Linked DNA regions of Pelodiscus sinensis. The protein of the gene in region 1 interacts with the protein of each later gene in a pairwise test. Links are inferred from orthologs where the notes say so. Each region holds a gene or a part of one and is shown in the gene's direction. Other genes may lie near its edges. The genes, in order: zinc finger and BTB domain-containing protein 8A, KIF5B, FAM161A and ZGPAT.

What was found.
Region 2: the proteins of zinc finger and BTB domain-containing protein 8A (region 1) and KIF5B interact in binary tests that used the Homo sapiens proteins (3 or more experiments, as listed by UniProt). The two-hybrid records come from large-scale screens. The link is inferred for Pelodiscus sinensis from reciprocal best matches to the Homo sapiens genes ZBTB8A and KIF5B.
Region 3: the proteins of zinc finger and BTB domain-containing protein 8A (region 1) and FAM161A interact in binary tests that used the Homo sapiens proteins (3 or more experiments, as listed by UniProt). The two-hybrid records come from large-scale screens. The link is inferred for Pelodiscus sinensis from reciprocal best matches to the Homo sapiens genes ZBTB8A and FAM161A.
Region 4: the proteins of zinc finger and BTB domain-containing protein 8A (region 1) and ZGPAT interact in binary tests that used the Homo sapiens proteins (3 or more experiments, as listed by UniProt). The two-hybrid records come from large-scale screens. The link is inferred for Pelodiscus sinensis from reciprocal best matches to the Homo sapiens genes ZBTB8A and ZGPAT.

The regions. Positions count from the first base shown.
Region 1 is NC_134735.1:3,441,621-3,449,482, reverse strand, and holds the start of zinc finger and BTB domain-containing protein 8A, read left to right. Parts: upstream 1-4,847; 5' UTR 4,848-4,982; intron 4,983-5,974; 5' UTR 5,975-6,027; coding exon 6,028-6,967; intron 6,968-7,862. UniProt on the Homo sapiens protein: May be involved in transcriptional regulation.
Region 2 is NC_134712.1:229,673,532-229,680,585, reverse strand, and holds the start of KIF5B (kinesin-1 heavy chain), read left to right. Parts: upstream 1-4,033; 5' UTR 4,034-4,252; coding exon 4,253-4,378; intron 4,379-4,529; exon of another isoform or gene 4,530-4,686; intron 4,687-7,054. UniProt on the Homo sapiens protein: Microtubule-dependent motor required for normal distribution of mitochondria and lysosomes. Can induce formation of neurite-like membrane protrusions in non-neuronal cells in a ZFYVE27-dependent manner.
Region 3 is NC_134713.1:180,771,383-180,778,744, reverse strand, and holds the start of FAM161A (protein FAM161A), read left to right. Parts: upstream 1-4,347; 5' UTR 4,348-4,384; coding exon 4,385-4,513; intron 4,514-7,362. Other genes in the region: CCT4 (T-complex protein 1 subunit delta), read left to right, coding at 6-136, 257-491, 1,523-1,636, 1,962-1,976. UniProt on the Homo sapiens protein: Involved in ciliogenesis.
Region 4 is NC_134728.1:3,544,738-3,551,824, forward strand, and holds the start of ZGPAT (zinc finger CCCH-type with G patch domain-containing protein), read left to right. Parts: upstream 1-4,072; 5' UTR 4,073-4,296; intron 4,297-6,479; 5' UTR 6,480-6,642; coding exon 6,643-7,087. Other genes in the region: ARFRP1 (ADP-ribosylation factor-related protein 1), read right to left, coding at 1,415-1,507. UniProt on the Homo sapiens protein: Transcription repressor that specifically binds the 5'-GGAG[GA]A[GA]A-3' consensus sequence. Represses transcription by recruiting the chromatin multiprotein complex NuRD to target promoters.

The DNA.
Region 1 (7,862 bases):
ACACATTCTAAGGGTTATTATTCCTGTTCATATTTTTTCATTGGATACATTTTTCATCCAGAACTATGGAATGAGAATTAAAAAATTCTTCCATTGTGAAGCAGAAAGAGAATTGTGTCACTCAAACTGCTCTGTAGCCAAGGGCACCATTAAACTTTTCTTATGTTCTGTATTTTGAAAGAATTGCAGTATAAGCATATGGCACTTATATTTTCTTAGTTTGGAAAAAATCTGTTACAACTCATCCATCAAATTTTATCTTTCAAATAAATGAATGTGTGTTCATGTGTGTCTTCCTTATTACAGCAATTTGTTTTGTATATTAGCTGCAGAACTTTTCTTTAGCAAACACATAACATTTAAAGAAAAAAAATACTGTATTTGAGTTCTTGGATTTTCAAGACAAATATATTTTATACATGTCTGAGATCTTTTAGCATTTTCTGGTATTCATTCTAGTTTTATATCTAAGTGAAACCAAGAAAGACACACTTTGTAAAATGTATGCTAATTATTAGCATCTTAATGAAGAGAAGGAGATTTCAATCTCCTTTTTCTAGAGCCAGTTTACAAGATAAGACTATTTGTCTGGTTTCTGAGCTACTGGTTTTGATGCAATAGTTCCACCCCTAGAAGAGACCTTCCTACCAATCATCCAACGCCAACTCCTGCAGACTCAAAAAGTGAGAAACATGAGACCTAGGACTAAATAAAGAAGCTATAGAAACTAAAACCTGCATGGTGCCCATTGAAAAAAATTATGTACAAAGAACAAATATCTTCTTTGCAAGAAGTGCACCAGTCCAGGTAATCATCAAGTGATCCCACCCCGTTACCATTCCCAGCCTCTGACAAACAGAGGCTAGAGACACCTTCCCTGCCCATCCTTGATAATAGCCATTGATGGACCTATCCTTCATGAATTTATCTAGGTTTTTTTTAACCCTGTTAAAGTCCTGGTCTTCACAACATCCTCTGGCAAGAAGTTCCACAGGTTGACTATGTTGCGTGAATAAATACTTCATAGAATCATAGAGCTGGAAGAGACCTCAGGAGGTCATCAAGTCCAGCCCCCTGTCCAAAGCAGGACTAATCCTAACTAAATCAACCCAGTCAGTGCTTTGTCAAGCCGAGACTTAAAAACCTCTAGGGATGGAGATTCCATCACCTCCCTAGATAACTCATTCCAGTACTTCACCACCCTCCTAATGAAATAGTTTTTCCTAATCTCCAACCTAGACCTCTCCCATTGTAACTTGAGACCATTGCTCCTTGTTCTGTCATCTGTCACTACTGTGAACAGCCTCTTTCCATCCTCTTTGGAACCTCCCTTCAGGAAACTGAAGGCTGCTCTCAAATCCCCCCTCACTCTTCTGCAGACTAAACAAACCCAAATCCCTCAGCCTAACCTCATAGGTCATATGCTCCAGCCCCCTAACCATTTTGGTTGCCCTCCGCTGGACCCTCTCCAATGCGTCCACATCCTTTCTATGGGGAGGAGGGGGGCAGAACTGGACACAATACTCCAGGTGTGGCCTCACCAGAGCTGAATAAAGGGGAATAATCACTTCTCTAGATCTGCTGACAATGCTGCTCCTAATGCACCCAATATGGCATTAGCCTTCTTGGCTACAAGGGCGCACTGCTGACTCATATCCAGCTTCTCATCCACTGTAATCCCCAGGTCCTTTTCTGCAGAACTGCTACTTAGCTATTCGGTCCCCAGCCTGTAACAATGCTGGGGATTCTTTCATCCCAAGTGCAGGACTCTACACTTGTCCTTGTTGAACCTCATGAGATTTCTTTTGGCCCAATCCTCTAATCTGTCTAGGTCACTCTGGACCCTATCCCTGCCCTCCAGCGTATCTATCTCTCCTGCTAGCTTAGTGTCAAGTGCAAACTTGCTGAGGGTGCAATCCATCCCCTCATCCCGGTCATTAATAAAAATGTTGAACAAAACTGGTCCTAGAACAGATCCTTGGGATACTCCGCTAGAAACTGACAGCCAACCTGACATCGACTTCATTTGTTTTAAACCTGCTATCTATTTATTTCATTTGGTGACAGCTAGTTCTTGTGTTATGGGAACAAGTAAATAACTTTTCCTTATTCGCTTTCTCTACATCCGCCATGATTTTATAGACCTCTATCATATCCCCCATTAGTCTCTTCTTTTCTAAGCTAAAAAGTCTCAATCTTTTTAATCTGTCTTCTCACACATGTAAAGTAACATTCCTGTAATTTTATCCAAAGTAAAACGATGGGATATTATCTTCCAGAACATCGATTTTGTTCTCTATTGTCACTGTTTCACAGGAATGTCTGGCTACTAGGACAAATGTAGGCTGTGGTTCTGAAAAACCTAAGCATATGCTTAACTTCAAGAACCTTTGTAGACCTGCTGAACTCATAGGAAGCAAGTCTTTGTAGGATCAGGTCTGTGGTTAGAAAATAAAAACAATATTTATTAATTCTGAATGAAAATGTTATAGCAATTATTCCTCAGATTATTGCCTAATAAAATAGATACACTGTTAATACATGTTGTATTTAAGAATGCATAAAGCTGCAAGTAATAAAAACATTTAACTTCAAAGGAGAAAATATTACATTCTATTACATACCAATCACATATCCATGCCATTGCCCTCTGTGAAACAAAGTTCCTAGATGAAATATTTCTCCAATGTAGTTTCTACTCATATGACAAATGCCATTCTCTTTTAGACCTAAATTTAACCATGTCCCACTCTAATCTGCCATTCATTCATTTGAATTATAAATTTAGAACGGCACACTACAGAATCAGGAAACTGAAGTTGTGGAAGACAGTAGCTTCCAGTCCGACTGTTTTGTGTCTATCTTTCTTTTTGGCACTTGCAGATTCATTATAGATTATTTCTGACCTTTCAGGGAAGATTCGTATTCTTCAGTCTTCACTCTGTTACAATCCCCCCACTCCTGCAATTTGAGTAAATGTGAGCTGTTTTGACTAAGGACTGCAGGATTTGCCCTATGTTACACAGTTAGCCGCTAATTCATTTTGAAGCAGTGCAAAAGCACAGAGAGAAATTTGTGATGATGATACTCATCTAAGTACTTGGTGTTAGTTTATTTACCACAAATGAAGAATTATGTCTCCTTTTGTCAACAGCTCTCCATTTACACATAAATACAGGGACTCACAAACCAGTACTCTTAAGGGCGGAGTTGGCAACTTCAGGTTGTGTTTTGTTAGATACAAACAGAATGTGCTCTGTAGAATTTGGTGTATAATTTTGTAAACAAGGATTACACCCCTATGTGCGGTATATATGTACAGTCTGTGTATCTGTTCTCTGACAAACCAAACAACATAAAATCTGGCCCTTTTTGCAGGCAGCTAATGCATTTATTTCATGTATAAAATCATAATTGTTTTATTGTATTGTATCATGGCAGGTAAGGAACTGGGGCATCCTGTCAACCCAGGGTGTGCTCAGTTAAGTGTGAAAAGGAAGGAAGGAAGCATCCTATACTCTTTTGATGTCTCAGAGGGGTAGCTGTATAATCTGTAACTTTAAAAACAAGGAGTAGCAGTAGAAGGGGACGTCTACGCAGCAGCGTTATTTCGGAATAACTGATGTGATTTCAAAATAACAAAATATGCGTCTACACCACAAGCCGTTATTTCAAAATAAGGCGAGCTGGAGGACTTCTTACTCTGCCTCCTGTAACCCTCATTTCAGGAGGAGTAAGGGAAATCAGAGGAAGAGTGTTCTTCCTTCGACATCCTGCTGTGGAGACAGAGCCAAAAGCCAAATTACATTATTTCAACTTCAGCTATGCAGTTGACATAACTGAAGCTGCATGGTTTAATTCGACTTTTGCCCTGCTGCGTAGACATACCCTTCAATACTAACAAAATATATATAGTATCGTGAGCTATATGAGGAAGTGGGTTTTGCCCATGAAAGCTCAGGATACTATACATATATTTTTGTTAGTCTCGAAGGTGCTACAGGAATACTCTTCAAGCATCCAGGAAGGATGTCAAGTGGAGCATGCAAGGGGTGATAAAGGACTGGAGCTCAAAATGCCACTGAAGAGCAAGTCCCCCATTGAAGTCTTCCATTGAAGAGCACAAGGTTAGCCAGGCTGGGTAGGAATGGTTCCCCTTACCTCTGTCAGGCTGGAAATGGGTGAGAGGAGAGGGCTCACTTGATGCTTACCTAAAAAACAACAACGAATGTTCCTATGGCGTGAGACTACCCAAAAAATATAGATAGTATCATGAACTTTGTACCCACGAAAGCTCATGATTCGATCTGTATTTCTGGTTAGTCGCTAAGGGGCTACAAGGCCATTGTTTTTTTAGTTACAGACTAACACAGCCACCCCTCTGAGAGTTTTGACAATCCTGTTCTGTCCGCTGCATGACACTGGCCACCCTCCACAGACAGGACAGGGTGCTACATGGACCTTTGGTCTGACCCAGAGTGGCCATTCAGTCAGGGGGAGAAAGAAATGGGACACCAGGGCCTACATGATACAATCTGAAGGGGTTGAGAACAACTTGAGGGCTTAGCCCGGCCTTGAAGGGAAAGTGGGTGAGAGTCAGGCCCGGGCTTGGCGTGAGACACAAGGATGTGGGGCATCGAAGGCCCCACTGTGCAGCAAGGTGCGGGAGGAAGCGGCTCGGGCTGGAGAGGGCTGCAGGGGAGGAGGGGGAGCAGAGGGAAATGCAGCCCCTACCGCCAGGCGCGCAGCGGAAGCTGCTGGGCTGCGCCTGCAATCGGTGCGTTGCCCCTTTAATTGTGTCCCCAGCCCTCGGGCGTCTCTGTCCGACGCCCACGTCAGCAAATCCCTTTTGTTTCTCTCCCGTTCGGGCTTCCGCGGGCTGGGGCGGCGGGACCCGCCAGCTGCATCCGAGCCACCGAGCGCCCCGCGCCGGGCTTTGGGGGATCCCGCACCCACCTCCCGCTCCGCCCGGAGCCCGGCCGGTAAGTGGCGGCCCCGCAGCCGGCGGGCCGGACTGGGCGTTGCGGGCTGGGAGCGGGCCCCGCAGCCAGCCGCTTGCACGGGGCGGTGGGGCGCTGCCGCCGGCTGCCTTGCGCGCAGGGGGCTGGGGCCCTGACGCGGCCACCCCCGGGGCCCCGCTGCTCTCGGGGGCCGCCTCTTCGCCCCGGAGCCAGCGGCGTCTGCAGAGACCTCGGCGGGCGCCATTTGCAGCCCGAGGCGCGGCTGCGAGGGGCCGGCAACAAAGGGCTGGCTGGGGAGCGGGGCGGCGGGGAGCCGGGCGAAGGGGGCCGGGGGGTGCGAGGCGGGCAGCAGCCGCGGCGGGGCTGCACAAAGGGGGAGAGAGGCGGGAGCCGGATGGACACACGCCAGCGGGTGCAGGCGCGCCCTGCAAGCGGGCACTGTCCGCCCGGCTGGTGTCCCCGGGCGCATGGCGCAGCGGCCGGCTGGTGTCCCCGGGCGCATGGCGCAGCGGCCGGCTGGTGTCCCCGGGCGCATGGCGCAGCGGCCGGCTGGGGGGCGCAGCTCCGCCGAGCCTCTCTCGGGCGCTGGTGGCCCGGCCGCTAGGGGAGCGGAGGAGGAAAGCGGCCGGCCCCGCCTGCCGCGGTCTCTCCCTCGCTAGGCGCTGCCCCCTGCGCTGGGCGGGCGTGTCTGGCGCCGTCGGGCGCCCCTGGCTCCCGCGGGGGGAAGGACCAATTCGGGCTGGACGCGCGCGCTGAGTGGCGGCGCCCTCCGCCAATGTCCCGGTGCGGGGAGCTGGTGTCCAGGGCGAGTTGTGCGCGGCTGCTTCTCTCCGCCGCCTCGGTCCCCTCTGCCCAGAGGATGCGGCGTGGAGTCAGGGCTGCGCCTCCCCTCTCTGGGCTCTTGTGGGTTTGAGAACGAATGGGCTCTTAAAAACACACCTGGTTTTGGAATTGGTGGCAGCCCCTCTGGTTTACATGCAGCCTGTCACGCTTGCAACTGTTCTTTATTGCAGAGCAAGGCTTCCTGCTTGCCCCCCTGCCCCCTCTTTTTTTTTTTTTTTTTGGAATGGAGATTTCTTCCCATCAGTTTCACCTCCTGCAGCAACTCAATGAGCAGCGCAAGCAAGACTTGTTCTGTGACTGCTGTATCCTGGTGGAGGGGAAGGTCTTCAAAGCCCATCGCAATGTGCTGTTTGCCACTAGTGGTTATTTCAAAATGCTCCTTTCCCAGAGCTCAAAGGATCCGAGTCAGCCAACCACTGCTACCTTCCAGGCCTTTTCTCCTGACACGTTTACAGTTATTCTGGATTTTGTGTATTCTGGCAAACTTTCCCTCACTGGCCACAATGTGATTGAGGTCATGTCGGCTGCCAGCTATCTTCAGATGACTGACGTTATTAGTGTGTGTAAGACGTTCATCAAGTCCTCCCTGGACATCAGTGAGAAGGAGAAGGATCGGTATTTCAGCCTGTCAGACAAAGATGTGAACTCCAATGGCGTGGAACGCTCCTGCTTGTATGGGGCTGACTGGAGAACGGAAAACAGCCCCCCTCATTCTCACTTAAACCCTGATCAAGGGACTTGCGTGATGAGTGGCAATGCTTGGAGCAATTTCAGCTACTATCCAGCTTCGCAGAGAAATGCGCAGCAGCAGTTGGCCAAACATGACCAAAGGCAGGAGTCCATCAAAAAGACTAGACATTTGGGATTGCAACAATCCTCCGACGTTCCCCATTATAAGTCAAGCAAGCTTGAAGACCGATCCGCAGACCCTCCTAGCCACCTTTCTCCATCTGAGGAGGAAGTCCAAATTGACACAGAAATTGACTCTGCCCATGCTGGGTACCAGTATGGTCAGGGGTCCGAGGTGATGCCAAGGAGCTTGGTTGTTACACAGCAAGAACACGAATCACCCCATTCTTCTAGCAAGTCAAAGTCCTCAAAAGCCGATGAGCAGTATGGCAACATACCCTCAATTTTAGGTGTAATGGGGAGCTGGGCTGAAGGTAAGAGTTGGTCATTTGTACCTCTCTCCTCATTTTCTTTCAAAGATGATGTTTGAATTTTTACTGGGTGAAAGTTGCAATGGAAAACATGTATCACCAGCTCTGTCGATGGGGAAAAATATCTGACTGTGTCCAAAAGGCAGGGGGAGGGAATATGTTCAGCTGCATTGCCTACAAATGCAGGATTGGAAAATAATATTCCCTAAGTGGTCCAATTCTGTAATGGCATGAACGGTACCTCTCTACTGTAAGTCACCAAGTTCTGAATTGGTTTCTCAAGCTTTGGAAGGATTCCAAAATGAGGTGAGTGTCATAGAATTAGAGCTCTCACTTTTTCCTCTCCCGCTTTAATTCCATTAACCCCTGTGCCGTTAGGTAGACACAGAAACACAAAATCATGCATTGAAGGTATTTAGCAAACCATTGGGACCCTGGGGTAGGTTCTCAGCAAGGGTAAATCTTTAGCTCTGTTGATTTGTACTCCTTTTTATTTCTGCAGTATCTTTTTGGAGATATGGTGTCCAGAACTGAATACACTATTCCAAGGGAGAGTGTACCAGCTGATGGTATTAGCTCTTCATAGTAGTTTTCAATCCTTTCCTTTTTACATTGTAATACTTGTGGTGTTTTACCATTGTTGCATGCTGAGCAGAAGTCTTTGCGGAGCTGTCCACAAGGATCCTCAGGATGTAGAGCAGTCAGGTGCATACATAATTCCATCGTATGAACTATGAGCTGTTTATGGAAAAGAAACTGAGTAGCTGTTTTTTAGCCAAAGTTCTCTCTTTAGTACAGAGAATATCCGAGACTACTCTTTCAAGTTGGAACCAAAGTGGGCTTTTTTTTTCCCCTATAAAAGGAATATAGGATCTTATTAAGTTCTTATAGAAGTATT
Region 2 (7,054 bases), on another chromosome or scaffold:
TTAAGTAACTAATCACAGTTCTGAAATTATAAACAAACATAAACAGGCTCTTTTATTTAGAAACTAGACGATTTACCTAGCATTGCTTGGGTCCTTAATTCAATTATTTGTGCTTTTTGGAAAATAAAACGGAAATGTATATGCTCCATTTAAACCATTGCTCTGGGGTGGGGGTGGTGATGAGGCTGCCCCGGGGAGTGAAGACTACCCCCAGACTCCTCTCACAGAAGCAGCTTGGGGGCCAGGTGAGAAGTGCCTCTCCATGACTGCTGCAGCTCCAGTTGGCACAGCTGGGAGAGGGGTGCATGTCCTCCAGCTGGGGCAGGTCCAGATTCATCTGCCCCTGTGCTCCCCAGCCACAGTGAGGAATGCAGCACTTTCCCCTTACTCCCTGACAAAGGGGAACAGTTACTGCATCAAGCCTTGTGCCCCATTTGACTGTATTCACACCCTGTGAATAATAATTATTGCATAGAGTACTTACGTGTCTGGGAGGTGTAGCTGTTACTGTCCTGATTAAGACGGTATGTTCCTGCAAAGGTTTCAACTAGAGCAGAAGGATGGGCTTGTTACAACATGATCTTGATTGAGAAGACTGCAAACTTGCCTCACAACACAGAACTAGATTTTAACAAATTATGTCATGTATTAAACTGAGAAACAGCTGTGGATACACTGGGATAATTGGTAATATTTAGAATAATTCCCAGTTACATGACCTAGGATGGGCTAGCACAATTATTGGGACTGCTCAGTGTCTGAGTGCACCAAACCTTAGGGTACCAGTTGCATGCACACACACACTGCTATTCTGAGGCAAGTATTGTAGGTTCTTCAGCAACTAGACCTTATAGACATTACCCTAGTGAGTCCCCATAACCACTCAGACACATGGCTACGTGAAAAGGGCTGGCAGGAAAGCCGCAGTTTGCAAATACCCTAGCTACAGAGGCTTGAACAGTTACCATTCAAAATGAACAACAGTTTTTGGTTGGGTCACTGGGGCGGTCCACTTGAAGAAGTCAAGGCTCTTTAGCCCTGCTCCACTCCAGATTTCATTCAAGCAAATAGGAACTTCCAGGTTTGCAGGCAAGGTTCAGTTAATGCCTCTCATTGGGTCCCTCAGTACTGGCGCCCTAACCAGTTTCTGCTGCTCCCCCAGACCTGTACTCTACTCTCACATCTGGCAGTCACAACCTGTTTCACACACAACTCTGTCTTCATTTCCTGAGGACTGGTCTACACTAGGGCTTTGTCTATACTGCTGGCTTTGCTGGCTGTGCCTATGCAAATAAAGCGCAGATTAGCATATCTCCGTGCCTCATTTGCATAATTTGTTCAACCCTTTTTGTGCAAAGGGTTTTTGCACAAAAACAAGCAGTGTGGACAGGGTTTTTTTTTTGCAAAAACCCTGTTTTGAGCAAGATCCTTATGCCATTCTAGGAGAAGTATAAGAATCTTGCGCAAAAAGGGGTTTTGTGCAAAAAAGGCTTAAATAAATTATGCAAATGAAGCACGGTGATATGCTAATTCATGCTTCATTTGTATAGGCACTGCCGGCAAGTCAGCAATGTAGACGTAGCCTAGGAGTTTAGGTGGAATTTAGTTGCATAAGGAAATTTTCTAAACAATGAGTCCACACTGCCAAGCCCGTTTCTTCAACTTTAAGAGTTACTAAAGTCAATTTTGGTACTCCTGCTTTTCATGAAGAGTAATTCTAAATTCAACCTTGCATGGTCAACTTTACTGTAGTGTAGTCCCAGCATTGTAAAAGTAGATGTTCTTGGCCTCTTGGAGGCATCCCACTGTAATGGCTCTGGTCAGGGCTTGTGACTCTATCACTCTTCAGGTGAACAGAAAAATCCCTGGGAAACTCTGAATTTAATTTCCTGTGTGGACAGCATGGCAAGCAGATCTCAGAGCAGGCAGCATACTTGGGCATGAGTTCCATGAGTTCAAGTTTCATGAGCTTCAATTCTCATTTGTGCAGATGAGTACCAGCATGGAGCATGAAGGAGATCTTGGACTTCAGAGATGCATGGGGAGAGGAATCAATTCTCGTGAAGCTCTGAACCAGCATATGTAGCACAGATATCTATGCGAAGTATGCAACTCCATGGTGGAGAAAAGATACACCAGGGATGCCCAGCAGTGCTGTGTGAAAATAAAGAAGCTGAGCACAAGACAAAGGAGGAAAACGAATGGTCTGGGGCATCGCTGCAAACATGTCGCTTCTACAAGCAGCTGTATTTGACACTGGTGGAGACCCAATCAGCATCCCAAACCAGACCATGGAATCCTCCCAAGACACTCATCAGGGTAGCAGTGTGGAAGACAGCAAGGAGGAGAAGAATGGTCAGCAAGCAAGTGGGTAGTTGATGTGACCAAGAACCAAGAACTTTTTATAACCTTAGAGATAATCCCTTCCTCCCGGGACATCTCACAGTCAGGCACTGATGTAAAGGAGGACCTTTCCAATGAGTTCACATTTTTTATTTGCTACCAGCAGATTAAAGCAATTGGCTGTGCTCCGTGCCTACACAGTGGGGTGAACCTGGAACAGATTCTTAACATGTCCGGAGATGGAGTGGGAATCTCCCCTGCACAGCTCCAGAAAACTCTTGTACAGTTAAGTCTTTAATCCGTCTCACAAAGTTTCTGGGGAGGCCAGCCTTATTCCATACTTCATGGTAGGGCACGTTCCTATGCCACACAACCAGAAAGTGGTCCGGTGGCATTGCAGCACAAAGCATTGCAGCGTAAGAACTAGGTTGTTGACCGCATTTAGTCAGCATCAGCTCCTTATCTCTGTGTGTAATTCAGAGAAGACTGATATCTCACATGGCAACCTGGATGAAGGAGGAGAAGCTATTAGCTGCTGCTTTTGCTACTAACCTCCATTTGCCCATCCCCGGTGAAGCACGGCTGCAGCTCTTGAGGAGGCTTCGGCCCCTCCTCTAGTCCTCCCGCCTGCGGGCTCTTGCAGGAAGGCGAAAAATAATACTCTTCTGGCAAGCAGGTTGAGCCAGACAAAAAGGAGGGAATTGGCATGAACTGCTGCCCCGCCCCACTGCCATGAATGAACCCTGTTCTCCTTCCTGCCTTCAAGATGGTGCCCTGGTAGGCCCCTTATCATGCCTGCCACCAAACTGTGCGAGTTCAGATGCTCCAAGAATTCTTGTGTGCCTGCTGCACTGTTAAAGTCTTAGTCTTCACCACTTCCTCTGGCAAGGAGTTCCCCAGGTTGACTGTGAACTGCATGAAGAAAAACTTCCTTTTGTTTGTTTTAAACCTGCTGTTTATTAATTTAATTTGTCCAGAAGCCACATAACTTAAGGCTTCCGATCACAATTTCAGAGGAAAATTATTTTGAACTGATAGAAAACCACAGGGACTCTTCATGTGACACCAATGCCCAAGGTTTCATTTAGATGGCAGAGGCATAGCTGGGTGGATCTGTGATCTCTGAAAGCCATGGCTTAATGTCATTTTGTGATGCTAAAAACAATGACACAAAACAGAGCCCTGGGGTGTATTTTGAAAGGAGGGTGCCTGCTGGGGGAAGCCTTTGAGGGTCGACTCAGCTACAGAGAGGGTAGCCCTGATAGGCTCAGCGCCTTGTGAATGCTCCGCTAGCAGCACCTCCCTGTCGCTTGCTCCCCAACTCCCTGCCCCTGAAGGAAGGGCGCCCCCCGCTGCTGCTGCGACTTCCGATCATGCCCTCCACATGCCTCCCCCCGTCGGCCTCCTTCACCCAATGACTGCGTCTGCGCTACAGCGGCGCCCAAAGACAACTTGTGCGCCTGCGCAGGAGATTTTTGCATACGGCAGTGACCATGTTTTCATCTCCTCCCGCCCTACACAGTGAGCGCTTGCGCAATGCAGCTCTTCGGTTGCTGCCGCGGCGCTGTCCTCGATGCGCGCCTGCGTGGTGAATTTGAGGCGGGGAGGGGTAGGTGTTCTCTGCGGCGAGTGACGTCACCCCCTCTCTGCCTTGCTGTCGAGGCTGCTTCTGCCAGGGGAGGGCAGGGCCTGGACTCGCCGGCTGCAGGCGCCGCCATGGCTGCCATATTGGGGAGGAAGTGAGAACAGTAGGCGGCAGCGGCGGCCAGGCAGGAGCCCTTCCCCTCTGCCCTTTGCTCAGCGAGGCGCTGCTCTGCCGGCGGCGGCCGCTCGCAGGACCCCGGAGTGAGCGGCGCGGAGGCAGCGGCGGCCGGGCTAAGCGCCCCGGAGGCGGCGGCGTTGGCCTAAGATGGCGGACCCGGCGGAATGTAACATCAAAGTGATGTGTCGCTTCAGGCCCCTCAACGACTCCGAGCGGAACCGCGGCGACAAAGACATCACCAAGTTCCAGGGAGAGGACACCGTCATCATCGCGGTGAGCGCCGGGGCGGGCTGGGGAGGGGGCCGGATACCCTGGGGATGGGCGCGGTACGAAGGGGGAGGGCTCGGAGGAGGGGATGGGGAGCTGGAGGAGCTGAGGGGGCCAGACAAGGGGAGCAGCTTCGTGGGGGTGTGACAGGGCAGAAGAACGAGCAGGACAGGCGCAGGGGTTGGCCGGGCGGTGTGTATGAACTTATAAAACTGCCTCCTAAGCAAAACCTCCCTGCCTCACAGACCTCTTGTAGAGCTACTGACAGCGCTAGAAACTTTGGGCATGACTTTACGTGGTAGTTTTGAAGTGAGGTAAGACCATACGGTGAATGGGGACAGAAGAAAATGTTCAAAAGAACTAGACTTTTTTATGTAACCTAATTAAGGTTGGCAACTAAGGTAATGCCTAAGAGAGACATTACCAGAGTAACTTGCCCACTGAATAGTTTTGGCAAAATAAAATCTATTGAGTGTGTTTTGTGATCAGTCCACCAACCAGTGGGTTAGTGGCTAATACTTTGCCCAATAAAATAGTCAAATTATGCCTTTGTTTTTTTCACACACAATTATAATTTTAATTTAATAAAAATTGCTTACTGCAAAATAGAAGCTTGATGCAAAGAGATTTGGTTGGTATCCTGAAAAAGATAATTCCAGCAGTGCCAGTTTGTAATGCAGCTGCTGTAGAATGAGTTATTAACTTTATGGTTTAACTCTCTATTTCACTTATAGTAACTGTCTTCTGTGGTTTCATTGGTATTTGTTGATAAATGGGTTGCACAGAGAGAGATTTTTTTCATGTTTCACACATTCTTAATCTGCACATTCAGATGAATAATTTGCTACATGGAATCAGAATTCTGCATTTAGAGAGGAATATAACTTTAAAATATACTTTACTGATGTTTGTTTAGATTTCAGATTCTGCACACTATTATCTTTTTGAAGCAACCCAAATTAAACAGTTATTCATAGCAGCTTAACCTGGAACTGGAACAAATACATAACAGTAAATAAAACTTGTTAGAAAATTTCATATTTATAGTACAAGGCTTTAAAGTATTTCTTAAATTCAGTTTTAGGAAAAACTAATGCATTGCTAATGGAATATGCAACCTTTTGCTGTTTCTGATATAAATGCAGTTCAGGTTGGTAGTGAGTAGGCCACTGAAAAGTAAACAGAATGCTCCTGAAATGAGCTGTTGGCCCATTCAAGATCAGATTGGTGCTGCAGACCTCATTAATTCTCATTGTTTCACAGAAGCCTTGTTCATCATTTAGCTAGACTGTTAGCAAATGCAGAATATGACTAAGCTGATGTCACTATCAGAGTAAGTACACTAACTCTCATGCTTGGTCCAGAGCAGGGATGGTCAATAATTTTCGCTGGGGGGGGGCACTTAATGAATTTTGGTATGTGATCACAGGCCGGCTTCACCCCAAGGGTAGAGATTGGGGCAGAAGGGACAGAGCTCGGGACTACCTTTTCCCCAGAGTTGTCTGGGGCCAGAGACTTTAAATTAAAATCACTGCAAAGGGCTCACAGTTCCCAGCCCTGCTGTTACCACATTGCCTGACAGCTGCCCAGGCTTGCTGTGGCTATTTAAAGGGCTCACTGCTCCAGTCCCTGCTGGGGTAGCACTATAGCCGTGATCCATTTTAAATAGGATCCTGCCGCGTGAGCCTCTGCCTGGAAATTCGGTAGCACAGGCAGCAGAATATAAATAGAAAGCATCCACACACAGTCTGTGGGCTGGGTCAAAATGTTAGGTGGGCTCAATTGGCTCCGGGCCACATCTTGGCCAGCACTGGTTCTGAGTATCCATTCATACAAACACCATGTTGTCCCCTCTGAAATCAAAAGTTGTAAGGTCCGTTCCTGAGATGTATATAATTTTCTAGGTGATAAACTGTCTATTAATTCCCAATTCTCTAACCTTCTGGAAACTACCTTTTGGACCAAAGGGCATCATTGCTAATAGGGCAGGGGCTTGATATTCATGGGGAGGATTCATGGTTTAGATTTCATATAATAAAAGTGAGAAAATTTGAAGTGGACACTCGGAAACATTACCCATGTAGTGTAGGTAGCCGCCTTTTACAAACTGGGAAAAAAAGCTGATTGTTTTGTTCTTGACAACTTTTTACCGCCAAAGCAAAAGCTAGAATTTTTCCTGGGTAATGAAGAAAACATCACAATAGTGTGGGGTTTGCTTTTCTAGTAAGATTGCAAAATAACATCTGAGTTGGGCTAGCCACTCACTAAGTAAGTGTGAGGTGAATTAGTCATTCTCCTTAGGGACCAGGTGGGGACAGTTGACAGTTGGTAAGGAATTAACATGCATTGTAATTACTACTTTAATAACCTTATGCTTCTGCAATAGTGATGGCCCAATGTAAAACATTCAGTAGTCATAGGGATTTGATACCAGTGACAGTCTTTTAAGTCTTATCTCACTGTTAGTCCAACCACTGGGACTGGAAACAAATGCTCTTTACAGTGAATATGTTGGAATTCCCATCATTAAGCATTTTTGCTTTGCTCCTGAGATATGGCAAGATTCCAAAACATTCTCTGAGATAAAATTTAGTTTGAGAGTTCTTTTTGTTCAAGAACTCCTAATGCTAAGAGCTAGCATCACTAAATTTGATATGCAGCTGTAATGCTGAAAGGTGGAAC
Region 3 (7,362 bases), on another chromosome or scaffold:
TCTAGGTAACAGGCTGTGCAAGCCCTGGAAAAACCGTTACAATTGTTGTACGTGGATCCAACAAGCTAGTTATGGAAGAAGCTGAGCGTTCAATTCATGATGCTCTGTGTGTCATACGTTGTTTAGTAAAAAAAAGGTAATGCTTTCTTCATATAGTGGCTTCATACACAAATCATACAGTAAACTGTAAGCACTTAAATGTTTGTCAAAGACCACAGCTTGTATTTTTAACAGAATTTTACTTTTTCCCCCTCAGAGCTCTAATTGCAGGAGGTGGAGCACCAGAGATAGAGTTAGCATTTCGCTTGAATGAGTATGCTCGTACTTTGAGTGGTATGGACTCATACTGTGTCCGTGCATATGGAGATGCAATGGAAGTCATCCCATCTACACTGGCTGAAAATGCAGGTCTTAACCCTATTTCTACGGTAACAGAGCTGAGAAACAGACATGCTCAAGGAGAGAAAACAGCAGGCATTAATGTCAGAAAGGTAAGATACAAAAGGATTATATGAATGATGGTCAGTTAAACAGTTTGATCCTTTTGATGGAATATACTTGAGAATAAAGACAGACAAAGGTTGCCCAACTTGTAGCCCAAAACCCTCCTCAATCAACCTTGCATATCATTGCAATATAACAATTTTCATGGTCTGAGAACTGCTTTTAAAAACTGCTTTTAAAACTGACTAGTTGTAGACATGGTTAGGAATCTTATCAGACTTTTTTTGATTGAAAGTGCCCTTTTTGCAAATATTAATATTCCAACTGAAAAGTTCCATTTGGTTGAGAAACTGAAATTATGACTTCTGTGCAGGCTACCTAGAATCTGCAGGGAGGCAGAGCAGCCCACTGCACCGTCTCCTGTGTAGCCTGAGTGCCTCTCTTCATCATCTTTCAGATGGACAGACAACAAACTAAAAAAATTATTTTGCTTCTCCTGAAATGAGATTTTTCAGAATTTGTCCCATGAGAAATTTCAAGTTTATATTTTGTTCTAAATGGGACAATGTTTTGTTCCCAAAACCTCAATTTTCCATATGTTAGCAATCCTATTTTTCGGTCATCTTGCTAGTTTAAATATATTTGGCTGCTAAAATCTCAGGTGCACTCTAAAAATCCTGTAGTGTGAGTAAGGAAGGTGAGTTAGAGTGCACCTGAGACTTTTAGCAGCCAAATACATTTTTAACTAGCAAAGATGGCTGGAAAACAACCTGTGAGATGCTAGTCTCAGTAGTTCTCTCTTCAGCCATAAGAACTAGAGACATTAATTTTTTGAAAATGAAACATGTTTGGATGCGAGAGCATCAGATGTAGCCACCGGGTAAAATACCTGCTCACTCAGCTGTTGTGACGTGAGTGCGTTCAAATGAACTGTGTATGGTTATTTGCTGATAAGGTATTTGTTTTCTCTTTTTAAAATTATGCTAGATAGGAGGCTACTGGGGATAATTTACAGGTATGTTAAAATCAAATTTGTTGTTTGCTTTATACTGCTGAGGCTATAATTCTTGTTTTGTAGGGTGGAATTTCCAATATCCTGGAGGAGCTGGTGGTCCAGCCTCTGTTGGTGTCTGTCAGTGCTCTGACACTAGCTACAGAAACTGTCCGCAGTATTCTTAAGATTGATGATGTGGTAAGTAATGTTTTTTATTATCATGTTCTGTTAATGTTGCAGTACAGTGACATGAACAAGGTATATCCCTTGTGTAAAGGATTCATATTTAAAGTGAATAGTTATATGCCCTTTCCATGTAATTCAGCAGTTTCCTGATAACTGTTAAAAATGAAACCAGTCTTATGGGAAAACAGTACTCAAAACCAAGTATTAGTTAACACAGCAGGCCAGATTAAAGCACAGGATACAAAAGGATTATGTATGAAGTGATCGCTTTAAGATGAGGGATATTGATGATTGTTTCCCATCCACATAATCTGATCATGTTAACTCATCTTTGCAGGTGAACACTCGCTAAGATGACTAAAGGAAATGGCAGTACAGCCCAGAGTATCTACGGTGTAGTCTGGAGTATGGTTTCTTCAAAGAATCCGTGTGTCAAGCATTCTGCTAAAATTCATTTACGTTTATGTACTTTTATCAACTTAATTTAATAAATTCTCTGCTCTCGAGACAAACTTAGTTCATAAGTGAAAGACAATGTTCTATAATTGAAAATCTGCATTAAAAACTCACCAAATGATACTAACATTTTGCTAGTTTTGCTGTTGTTAATCATATACTTTCTTTCTCACTACGTGAACCTATTTTGATATCTAAATTTAGCTTCTGAAATCTGTCCTTTTGAAATAATTCTCTTGCTGTGGAAAAACGTAAATGATGGATAGTCTAGTAGCACCTTTTAAAGACTAACAAAACACGTAGATGGTATGAGCTTTTGTGGACACTAAAGCTCATGATACCATCTATGTGTTTTGTTAGTCTTTAAGGTGCTACTAGACTATCTGGTTTTTCTTCCTGTTGCAGACTAATTCAGCTACCCCTCTGAATCTCTTACTATGGAATCTTAGTAATAACTGTACTACCTCAGACCTGTTTTTGCAAAATTCATCCAAAACAATAGTTCATCCTTCCTCTCCTACCCAAGGAGTTGTTACAGCCACTATGGTGCATGGCAACTATAGGACTGTACTTTGCCCTGTAATTTAAAGTGTACATTTCTTTCTGCAAATGTTTCCTTGTCCATTAATGCCTATATGCCAATGTCTTGTCTCTCAGCCAACACACCTTTAATACATTTCATTGTACTTCAGCTACCCAGGACAAAGGCTTCTAGCCTTTAATTGCTGAAGTTTCCTTCATTAACTGCAAATGGAAATACTTATTAGTTGAGATTTTGTAAGTTATGTTTCAGGATCACATTCTAGTATTTGGTCATTAGTTGTCACACGAGGTTGGTAATAAACATGCCAAGCACCCTATTACAGGATTGAAGCTGATCTAATTTTGTAAATACAGTTTTAGATATTTCATATTTGGGCCTTAAGGAAATATGCTGCCAAAATAGATCTTATGCTGACTTTACAGATCTTTGCAATCCAAGACTTAATATTAACATCTTTGTATGTAGTTTAGGGATAATTTTTGGTGGAGGGGGAGACTCCAAGCTTTTGGTAAGTAGTCAAGGTCACACTTTTCTAGGTGTGGGGGGAGACAGTGAGGTCTTGGCTACTGATTGAGAGTAGAAGGGAGTTCAGGAGCAGGCCACTTGGGTGCAGGAAAGGGGGTGGGATCTGAGGAAGTTTGGGTGAAGGAGGAGGTTGTGACCTGGTCCAGTGCATTGGGGTGTAGGCTCCAGGAGGGGTTAAAGATACATTCTGGGAGTGTAGCAGAGTGTGCAGAGTCTGGGAGATAATAGGGGCATTGGAGGGGGTGGGGTGCCAAAGGCAGGCTCTTGCTAGCAAGTGCTTATGCAAACAGCTACTGGACAGGTGACTGCTCCAAACAAGCTTCAGTGCTTGGCAACAACCCTAAATGCCTTCTGTTCCATGTGGCTCTGTGATGTGGGCGGGGGATGGAGGAGTTCATGCGCTTCTACTCCCTCCAGCAAAATCTCTTAGCTCCCTTTGGTGGATTTTTGGCAAACGGGCAGAGAGATTTTGCTGACTGTGGGGCACCAGGGGAAGCCTCTTCCCATTCCCCCCAGTGAAGGAACAAGGAGCAGCTTGCTGCTTTGGGTGTCCTATGCTGTAGGGGTGGACTGATTCACCCGATGCATCTTGCTCACCCCTGTTCTAAGAACTACTCAGTTGGTCTCTGGCCAATTAACTCCCCCAACTGGGATGGCCCAAGCTCTTCCCCTGGGGTGACGTTCCCATGTTTCAGTTCAATGAAAGTTGGCTGAAATACACTTGCTTTATCCCTAGGGGGTTTGGGAAGGGAGAGGGTAGCACCTTCTGTCACTAATCATAGCTTGAGCAGCAGAAGTGGCACAAAACCATTGCAAGCATATCGAGTGGAGACTCGAAGCACTCTGACAAAGATACATCTGCCCATCGGCTGTGGTTCCAGCCCATCTAGCACTGAATTACCCTTACGCTGAACTGATCGAGGAAGCTAACTTGGCGCGGGGTGTGCATCCAGCCTTCCTGGGAACAGCCTGAGCAGAAAGGCGCAGCAACTCTCAGAAGGGAGGACTGACAGCCCCCTCCTCCCCAACAGCGGGGCAGGAATCTCCGCACTCCGGGGTCCCCGAACTTCCCGTCGCGCCGCGGTCCGGAAGGGCTCTAGGAGGGCGGAGTCTCAGCTTGGGGCTTGACTCGCAGTCCGCATAGGTTTGTCCTAGTAGACGTGCCGTAGCGTCCCCGGTAACCGCTGTAGCTGGGAGCCAGAGGCGGCGGCCGAGCCAGCCGCTGCCCGCGGAGTATGGACGCGGCGCACCGCGCTGCGCTCCTCACCGCCTCCTGCCTCAGGACGCCCGTGAACCCGCGCACCAGGGCGCCGGTGGCTCTGTACGAGCGGGAGAGGCGCCCAGCGGCCGCCGTGGAGCAGCAGGTACCGCGGGGGCGGGGCGGGGAGCCCGGGCCGTGTCTCCTGCGCCGCTCGCCCCCCGGGTGAGGGCAGCGACATCCCGCTCCCCTTGCGCGGGAGCCTCCCCCCCCGCCTGAGCCGGGGGCTGGCGGCTCCGGCCGTGGGGCGCTCTCGCAGGGCGAGGGGGGGGCTCCTGCGCCCCGCACATCGCTGGGGCTTAGCCGTAGGGAGCCGCTCCAGCCCCCACCGGTTAACGGGGACCGGTCAGCATTACCCAGTAAGGGTGATAGGTACCGCTAATCCCCACTTCGGCACAGCTGAAGCCTGGCAGCCATGCTGAAGCAGGGGGCGGAGTGTGGGTGGGACCATGCGTGGCCGTTTGAGAAGGCAATGCCTTTCCCTGCCTCTTATATCTGCTGCCCATGGGGGTGAAAGTCTGTGAGCATCTGATCGCTATTATGTCAAGTAATGTCTCTGTTGTATAAGGGAGGCAATGCATTAGAAAACGTGGAACCGGTGGCATTCTCCTAGGCTGCCTAGCTCCTGCTAACCTTTTCATGGCTTTGATGCTGTGCTTTATGGAGTTCCATCAAGTCCAGTGACTGTCCCAACCTGCTAGGAGAACTAGGATTTAGTAGACAGATGGCTGCTTTTCCAGCCAGAAAGGGTCACCAGATCTGACTGACCTCCTGTAAACACAGGGCACCAGCACCGCCCTGCATGCTAAATGCCACTACCAAAATTAGTCTAAGGTATTTCAGCTTCCAGGAGACTGACCACTGTGCGCCACAGGCAGAGAACAGGAGGAACCAATGTCCACCAATGCCTGAGGCCCTTGGAATGGCAGGAAATTGATTGAAAGCTGCACAAAGATGATCCTAGCAGGCAACTTGCATCCCACACTGTGGAGGAAGGTGAAAATTCCAGAAGACTGCTACCAGTCTGATCCTCCCTCACCCCCAATATGTTGCTATGATATTCCTTGTGGCAACTGCAATAATGCTAAGGAACAAAACACACTGGGTTTACATTTTAAATAGGGTAAGATGATCTTCTGAAGATTAGTCTCTGGATTAATGATGTATTTTTAATTCTGTCTTCAAGTGAGATTTTAAAACTAAAAGTAATATAAGTTTTGTCTCTTAAGGAAATACTTTGGCATGTGGTGAAGTATTTTCTGATATATAAGGACACCCGTGTTCCAAGTCTGCCTTTTTAAAACAAGATGCTACAAGAGCTGTAAGAGATAAAGGAGATTATTGATGAGAATATAGGAATGATTCCTGTAAAAATGTGTTTTAAAGAGGGGTAGAAAGCGGAGTGTAGTTTCAAGTTCAGGGAAGAGATGTTGAAAGGTGTGAAGGTAAGAATGAAGGGGACAGCTTTAAAGCAAGAGGTGGTGCTGAGTTTAGCATACTGAAAGGTAGAAATAGGAGTAAATGGGAAAAGACATGTAGATGAGAGTAAGATTATGTAGCGTGATGAGAATGAGAACAAAGAGCTTGAATGTGATGCACTAGGCACTAACAGAAGGGGTTTGAAGATGAAGTAAAAAGTAATCCTACAAAAATGGAGAGAAATTACTAAGGGTGAGTACAAAAGAACAGTAAATGAGTGGCTATGAAATCAGAAAGGCTAAAGCACAAAATGAGATATACCTAGCAAGGAACATAAAAGAGGTTCTACAAATGTGTTAGGAGCAAGAGAAAGACAATGGAAAATGTAGGTTTGATACTTGGGGGGGGGGGAAGGAAAACTAGTAATGGATGATTTGAAGAAGACTGCCCTGTTTAAGGCCTATGTTGCTTCCATCATCACTATACGCAGTCCCTGAGTTACGTGGATCCCTACATACGAACAGGGCTTTTCTCGCCACGGAGGATGTGGGCGGCAGGACCGCCGCCCGCGTCCTCTGCAGTGAGAAAAACTGCTCCGTCTCTCCCTGGTCTGCTGTGGGTGGGGAGCGCAGCTAGTGCGCCCCCCCCCCCCCCCCTCCCCAGCAGACCAGGCTTTTCTCGCCGATGCCTGGGGTAGAGCAGCTGGGGCGCTGCCGGGTTGGTCCCCGCAACGCCAAGGTGTGGTGCTGCGGGGACCAATCCGGCAGCGCCCCAGCTGCTCTGTCCCAGGCATCCAGATTCAGCCACTGTTGAAACTGATCAGCGGCTGATTCCAGGAAGCCCGGGGCAGAGCAGCTCTGCCTTGGGCTTCCTGTAGTCAGCCGCTGGTCAGTTTCAACCAGTGGCTGAATCTGGACGCCAGTTCCGATTTACATACAAATTCAACTTAAGAACAAACCTACAGTCCCTATCTTGTACATAACCCGGGGACTGCCTGTATAAAGCTTAATTTATTAGTAAATCAAACAGTTTATTAATATAATAAGGGGAAAGGAACACAAGTAAAAACAGGGTTAAGGAATATTTAGATAGCAGGGCCTGATGAAATTCATCTTAGGGTACTTAAGGAACTAGCAGAAGCAGACTTGAAAACATTAGTGATTATCTTAACTCATGAAGGACAGGAGAGTCCCAGATGACTAACAGGCAAATATACCCCATATCTTTAAAAAGGGGAACAAAGAGGAATTATAGACCAGTCAGCCTAACTTCAATACCTAGAAAGATACTGGAACAAATTATTAAACAATCAGTGTGTAAGCATCTAGCTGACATAGAGTAATAAATAATAGCATGAATAAACATAATTTGCCAAGTCAATCATGCCAAATAATACTAAATCAACCTATTTTCCTCCTTTGACGGGGTTACTGGGATAGGGAATGCTGTAGATGTGATACATGCTGATTTTAATAAGGCTTTTGATACTGCTCAATATGGTAAAATTACTATTAGGGTGATAGTATCACTGGTTGA
Region 4 (7,087 bases), on another chromosome or scaffold:
GCAGCTGACTTGGGGACGCCTGGGGCAGAGCAGCTGGGGTGCTGCTGGGTTGGTCCAGTAGCGTCGCCGCTCCTCGGCGCTACTGGACCAACCCAGCAGCACCCAAGCTGCTCTGCCCCAGGCGTCCTGATTCAGCCGCTGCTGAAACTGACCAGCAGCAGCTGAATCAGGACGCCTGGGGCAGAGCAGCTGGGGTGCTGCCGGGTTGGTCCAGTAGCACCCAGAGCGGCGCTACGGGACCAACCGGCAGCATCCCAGCTGCTGTACCACAGGCGTCCGGAGCAAAGCCGCGGAGCACGGGGGCAGCGGGACAGCCCAGATGCGCCGTGGCTGTCCTGCTGCCCTTGGGCTCCACGGCTTTGCTCTGCTTTGCTCCCCGTCTCCCTGGTCTGCAGACCAGGGGGACGGGGAGCAAAGCCGCGGAACACGCGTCTGGGCTGTCCGCTGCCCGCGTGTTCCGCGGCTTTGCTCCCCGTCCCCCTGGTCTGCAGACCAGGGAGACGGGGAGCAAAGCAGAACAAAGCCGCGGAGCATGCGGGCAGCGGACAGCCCAGACGTGTCTGGGCTGTCCGCTGCCCGCGTGCTCCGCCGCTTTGCTCCCCGTCCTCCTGGTCTGCTGGAGACCAGGGAGACGGGCCCCGTTCGTAACTGCGGATCCGACATAAGTCGGATCCGCGTAACTCGGGGACTGCCTGTATTGTGTTTAGTTCTGGACACCGCATTTCAAAAAAGATGGAGAAATTGGAGAGGGTCCAGAAAAGAGCAACGAGAATGATTAAAAGTCTAGAGAACATGACCTATGAGGGAAGGCTGAAGGAACTGGGTTTGTTTAGTTTAGAAGAGAGACGATTGAGGGGGGACATGATAGCACTTTTCAGATATTTAAAAGGGTGTCATAAGGAGGAGGGAGAAAACTTGTTCATCTTGGCCTCTGAGGATAGAGCAAGAAGCAATGGGCTTAAACTGCAGCAAGGGAGGTTTAGGTTGGACATTAGGAAAAAGTTCCTAACTGTCAGAGTGGTCAAACACTGGAATAAATTGCCCAGGGAGGTTGTGGAATCTCCATCTGTGGAGATATTTAAGAGTAGGTTAGATAAATGTCTATCACGGATGGTCTAGACAGTATTTGGTCCTGCCATGAGGGCAGGGGACTGGACTCGATGACCCCTCGAGGTCCCTTCCAGTCCTAGTATTCTATGATTCTATGATTCTGTGCTTAATGAAGCCCATACAACTGTGTGTCTGCAGGCTTACTGTACTAAAATCAGATAGGCAGGATCAAATTCAGACCTGGGGTAACACTGCTGAAATACCGAAGTGACAGCAGGGAATAAATTGGCCTGTGCTGGTTTGGGAAGAAGTGAATGGAGCTGTGTGTGCTCCTCCATGCTAATGGGCTACTAAAAGCACATACCGTTTTCCCCGCATTGTCCAGCCCAAGGATCAAAATGCAGTACTCATCCCTACGGAACATGTACTTATATAGTCCAGACAGCAGCGTATACATCCTGCTCCTGCAACAAATATCAAGATGTCATCAGCAAAGGAGTTTTCCCCGAAGCCTCTTTTTCAACTGTATAATTCTGTTCAACTACCAGATAACAATACAATTTTATATATATATAGCATTTCTCCCCATGGGGGATCCCAGAGCCAGTTACGAACTCTAGGAGACTGACTTTTAAAAGAAATGAAGGCCAGATTTTCAAGTGTTCAGACTCAACACTTGGGTGTGGATTTTCAAAGAACTCAGCTCTTGTTTAGGCACTTAAATAGGGCCAGATTTTGGAACATGCTCAGCCCCTGGCAGCTTCTATCACTATACTCATGGCCAGATTTTCAGCACAGCTCAACCACTAGCATACACCCTTTATGCTGACCATTTCTGAAAATCTAATCACTTATTTTGGTAACTACATGGGAGCTTGTGAGTATTTGTCTAGATAGCTCCCTGAAATGTAGGTGCAAAGGAAGATAACAGCCAGATGCACAGTAGCTGCACATGTCCAGAAAGGAGTTATCGGGACTAATGCAGAAGGCAACCCAGTGGCTGTGTCTAGACTGGCAAGTTTTTCTGCAAAAGCAGTTGCTTTTGCGGAAAAACTTGCCCACTGTCTACACTGGCCTCTTGAATTTCCACAAGAACACTGACTTCCTACTGTCTGAAATCAGTGCTTCTTGCGGAAATACTATGCTGCTCCCATTCGGGCAAAAGGGCCAGTGTAGACAGCTCAGATTTGTTTTGCACAAAAAAGCCTCAATTGCGAAAATGGCGATCAGGGCTTTTTTGCGGAAAAGAGCATCTAGATTGGCACGGACGCGTTTCCGCAAAAAGTGCTTTTGTGGAAAAGCGTCCGTGCCAATCTAGATGCTCTTTTTCTCAAATGCTTTTAACGGAAAACTTTTCCGTTAAAAGCATTTGCGGAAAATCATGCCAGTCTAGACGTAGCCAGTGTCTGTTGAGATGTACCAACGCAGCCTTAAAGCTCTCACTGAACAGAAAGGACCTACGTTTTAAAAGCATATGCAGTTTTTTGTGAGAATTTGAACATTCCTCAGTAGAACCTCCTCTTGCAGTGTCTCTAGTATATGCACTGCTGCCTCACCAGGCATGAGGACCAGTGAAAGTGACTAGTCAGTAACCTGAGTGAGGGTAGTCGATTCAGACCAGACAGCTGGGCTGCTGTACAAACAAGCTCCCTTTCATAGGGTTTGCATAGCACAGATGCACACATGCACTTTGCCCAACTGAGGCAAAGTTCACTTGAAGCTTATGAATGGGATTATATTAGGTGCTAGCCTGTGACCTTCCCTTCCACACCTGGGGGGCACTGATCCCTCCTGGGAGGTAGAGGATTATGGGTGACACCTGCAGCAGTCTGAGGGAGACGCAGCCCTGGAGGCTGGAGCCTCCCAGCATGTTTTGGGTGCAACCTGGATCCTCCCCCCCCACCACCACAACCCACAATGTGCAAGGGCAGCCTGTGGCACCCACAGTCCCAGCTCGCAAAGCTTCCCTGTAAACGAGGGACAAGCTGCTCCGCCAGCCTGGGCAGCACCACCTGCAACTGGGACCAGGAGCCCCTGCGAGTCGCTTGGCTAGAACAGAGGTCGACTCCCCACCAAAGGCAGCGACACCTCATCTCCGGAGCCCAAAGCCTGGGGCAGGACCCAGGGATCAACCCCCCCAACCCTGGGACCCCCAGCTCCGGCCGCACGGCTGGGGCCCGCCCCATAGACCCACCTCGGACCCCCAGCTCCGGCCCCACGGCTGGGGCCCGCCCCATAGACCCACCTCGGACCCCCAGCTCCGGCCCCACGGCTGGGGCCCGCCCCATAGACCCACCTCGGACCCCCAGCTCCGGCCCCACGGCTGGGGCCCGCCCCATAGACCCACCTCGGACCCCCAGCTCCGGCTGCACAGGTGGGGCCCGCCCCATAGACCCACCTCGGACCCCCAGCTCCGGCCGCACCGCTGGGGCCCGCCCCATAGACCCACCTCGGACCCCCAGCTCCGGCCCCACCGCTGGGGCCCGCCCATAGACCCACCTCGGACCCCCAGCTCCGGCCGCACCGCTGGGGCCCGCCCCATAGACCCACCTCGGACCCCCAGCTCCGGCCCCACGGCTGGGGCCCGCCCCATAGACCCACCTCGGACCCCCAGCTCCGGCCCCACCTCTCCCCGCCCCCCGGGCTGCACAGCGGGGGCCAGGCCCAGACACGCCCCCTCCCGCTCGGCCCAGGCCGGGGGGCCCCCCCGCGGGCAGGGGGAGCCCGGCGAGCCGGTGACTGGGGGGGCTGCAGGCTCCGCCCACCCGCGGAGCTGGGGGACAGTGATGGCCCCGCCCCCTACCTGGGTGACGGGTCTCGACGGCTCCTGCCACTCAGCCGCCCCGCGACTCCCGCTGCAGCTCGAATCGGCTCCCCCCTCCCCCCGCGGCCGCCTCCTACCCCCCACTGGGTGGGCAGCTGTCTCCGCCCCGTGCCCGCGGGGCACCCTGGGAAGCGTAGTTCCTCCGGCGCCAGGGACTCGGAAGGGGAAGGCCTCTTGGACCACCGCTCCCAGAATGCTCAGCGCGCCCAGCCGCGGGAGGCGTCCTCGCTTCAGCCCGCCGGAAACACCATTGGAGGAGGAGCTGGAGGACTGGCCCGCCCAAGATGGCGACGGAGCCGGAAGTCGACTCTAGCCGGAAGCCGGGTGGTGTCTATGGTGTGGCCTGTTCCGGGAGGCGGAAGCCATGGCAATGGAGAGAGTCATGGCGGCTGCGCTGGCTTAGCGGGAGCGGGCGGCCTGAGGTAAGGGAGGGGCCGCGGGGGCAATGGAGGTAACCGTTCCCCTGGGGTCTCCATGGCGACTGAGGGGAGTAGCCCCTCCCCCCGCCGCTGGGGGAGCTGCTGTGTCTCACATGGGGGGAGGGGTCGCCTTGGCTGGGGAGGGGTTAGATCACGTGAGGCGGTTGGGAGTTATTCTCCCCCCCCCCGGTTGCTATGGCTGGGGAGGTGCTGGGCCCCCTCCATGGGGACTCTTGACCCCCCCCTCATGAGGGATTTTCAGCTTCCCTCTGCCCCATTGAATGTGAGGCAGGGGGCGGCAAAGGGGGCAGCCCCTGGATCCTGCAGAGCGGGGGGGGGCAGAGGAAAGGTGCGGGTTGGGCGCAGCCCAGGGGTCTTTGCCTCCACTTTCACAGCAGGTTTAATGCCGCCTGCGTGGGAGGCAACGTGAGCAGAAAGATGTAAGAACAACCAGACTGGTCCATCCAGCCCAGTGTCCTGCCCACAGTGGCCAATTCCAGGTGCCCCAGAGGGAGGGATCACAACAGGGAATCCTCATGTGATCCCTCCCCTGTCACCTATTTCCAGACAAACAGAGGCTGGGGACACCATTCCTACCCATCCTGGCTAATAGCCACTGGTGGACCTAACTGCCATGAATTTATCTAACTCTTTTTTCAACCCTGTTAAAGTCCTAGCTTTCACCACATCCTCTAGCAAGGAGTTCCACAGCTTGACTGTGCAATGAGTGAAGAAAAACGTCCTTTTATTTGTTTTAAACCTGCTGCCTATTAATTTCACTTGGTGACCCTTAGTTCTTATATTTGGGGAGCAAGTAAATAACTTTTCCTTGTTCACATTTTCCACACCTGTCATGATTTTATAGACCTCTATCATATCTCCCTTTAGTTTCCTATTTTCTAAACTGAAAAGTCTGTCTTTTTAATCTCTCTTCAGATGGGACCCGTTCCAAACCCCTCATCATTTTTCTTGCCCTTTTCTTTACCTTTTCCAATGCCAATATATCTTTTTTCAGATGAGGCGACCACATCTGTATATAGTATTCAAGATGTGGGCGTACCATGATTTTATATAGAGGCAATAAGATATTTTCTGTCTTATTTTCTAACCCTTTTTAAATGATTCCTAACATTCTATTTGCTTTTTTGTCTGCTGCTGTACACTGAGTGGATGTTTTCAGAAAACTATCCACAATGACTCCAAGATCTCTCTCCTGAGTAGTTGTAGCTAAATTAGTTCCCATCATATCGTATGTGTAGTTGGGATTATTTTTTCCAATGTGCATTACTTTACATTTATCAACGTTATATTTAATTTGCCATTTTGTTGCCCAATCACTCAGTTTGGTGAGATCTTTTTGAAGCTCTTCACAGTCTGCTTTGGTCTTAACTATCCTGAGCAGTTTGGTATCATCTGCAAATTTTGCCACCTCACTGTTTACCCCTTTCTCTAAATCATTTATAAATACAGGCAGTCCCCAGGTTACATGGATCCGACTTACATCGGATCCCTACTTACAAACGGGGTGAGGCAACCCCGCACTAGCTGCTTCCTCCCAGCAGACCAGGGAGACGCGAAGCTAGCGCGCCCCCCCCCCTCCCCAGCAGACCAGGGAGATGCGGAGCGGCTTTTCTCAGCAGACACCTCAGCTTGAGAATAAAGGACTGAGGGAAGTGAGGTGTGGGAGAATAAAACTGAGCTCTGGAGAAATGTTTGGCTAGAGTTTCCTCTACAATATGTACCAGTTCCGACTTACATACAAATTCAACTTAAGAACAAACCTACAGTCCCTATCTTGTACGTAACCCGGGGACTGCCTGTAAGTTGAATAGGATTGGTCCCAGGACAGACCCTTGGGGACCCCACTTGTTACTAGTTATAATTAAAGAGGAGGTAGGGAGTGGTAGTGTTGTGTCATGGGACTGCAAGTTTAAAGGGACAGAAAAGTAAGGCTGATGTTATTCGCATGTCCTAGTTAATCATGGTTGAATTCTGAGGTAAGTTAAAAGCTTAACAGTTTTTCAAGTGCGATATCAACGGGGCAGGTTGAATGTACATGACACGAGCCATGTGTGTATAATGATATACGGTGGTAGCTGTTTGCATTACAGATATCTATTCAATTAGGATGGCTATCCTTGTGACTGCTTTCTCTAATGAAGCTTTATAATATTTGTTCCCTGCAGTGTTTTTCATCTGGTTGCAGCAAAGGGAAGAACACAAGACTACTGCAGAGATTGACAGCTAGTTTGGACAGAGACTCCATATTTCACATTTCTGTCCAGTAAATACTTGAGTATTTACCAAGTTCCCAGACAGGAATCAGCGAAACAGCTCTTTGCAATAACAATGGATGAAGAGAGTCTGGAAGCAGCAATTCAAACCTATAAAGCCCAGTTGCAACAAGTAGAGCTGGCTTTAGGGGCAGGGCTCGATCCATCACAGCAATCTGACTTGATCCAATTGCAGGAAGATTTGAAGCAATTGATAGAACTGACTGAATCCAGCCTGGTGTCAGTGAAAAAGAGCAAACTGCTGGCCAATTTAGACACCGATGGACCCTCCATTTCTCCAGCAGGTTCCCTAAAACAGGACAGTAATTCTGGCAGGTCCTGCAATGATGATGAGTATGATGCTTTTAAGGAAGCTATTGCTGAACTTGGTGGTGAGGACAAGCAGTTGTGTACTAAAGACATGGCCTCTCCAGAACAAGATGGAGAGGATGATGGGGGAAATGAATTGAAGTACAGTGACGAGGAGGAAGCGTCTGAGGAAGAGGAGGAGGAAGTGAGTG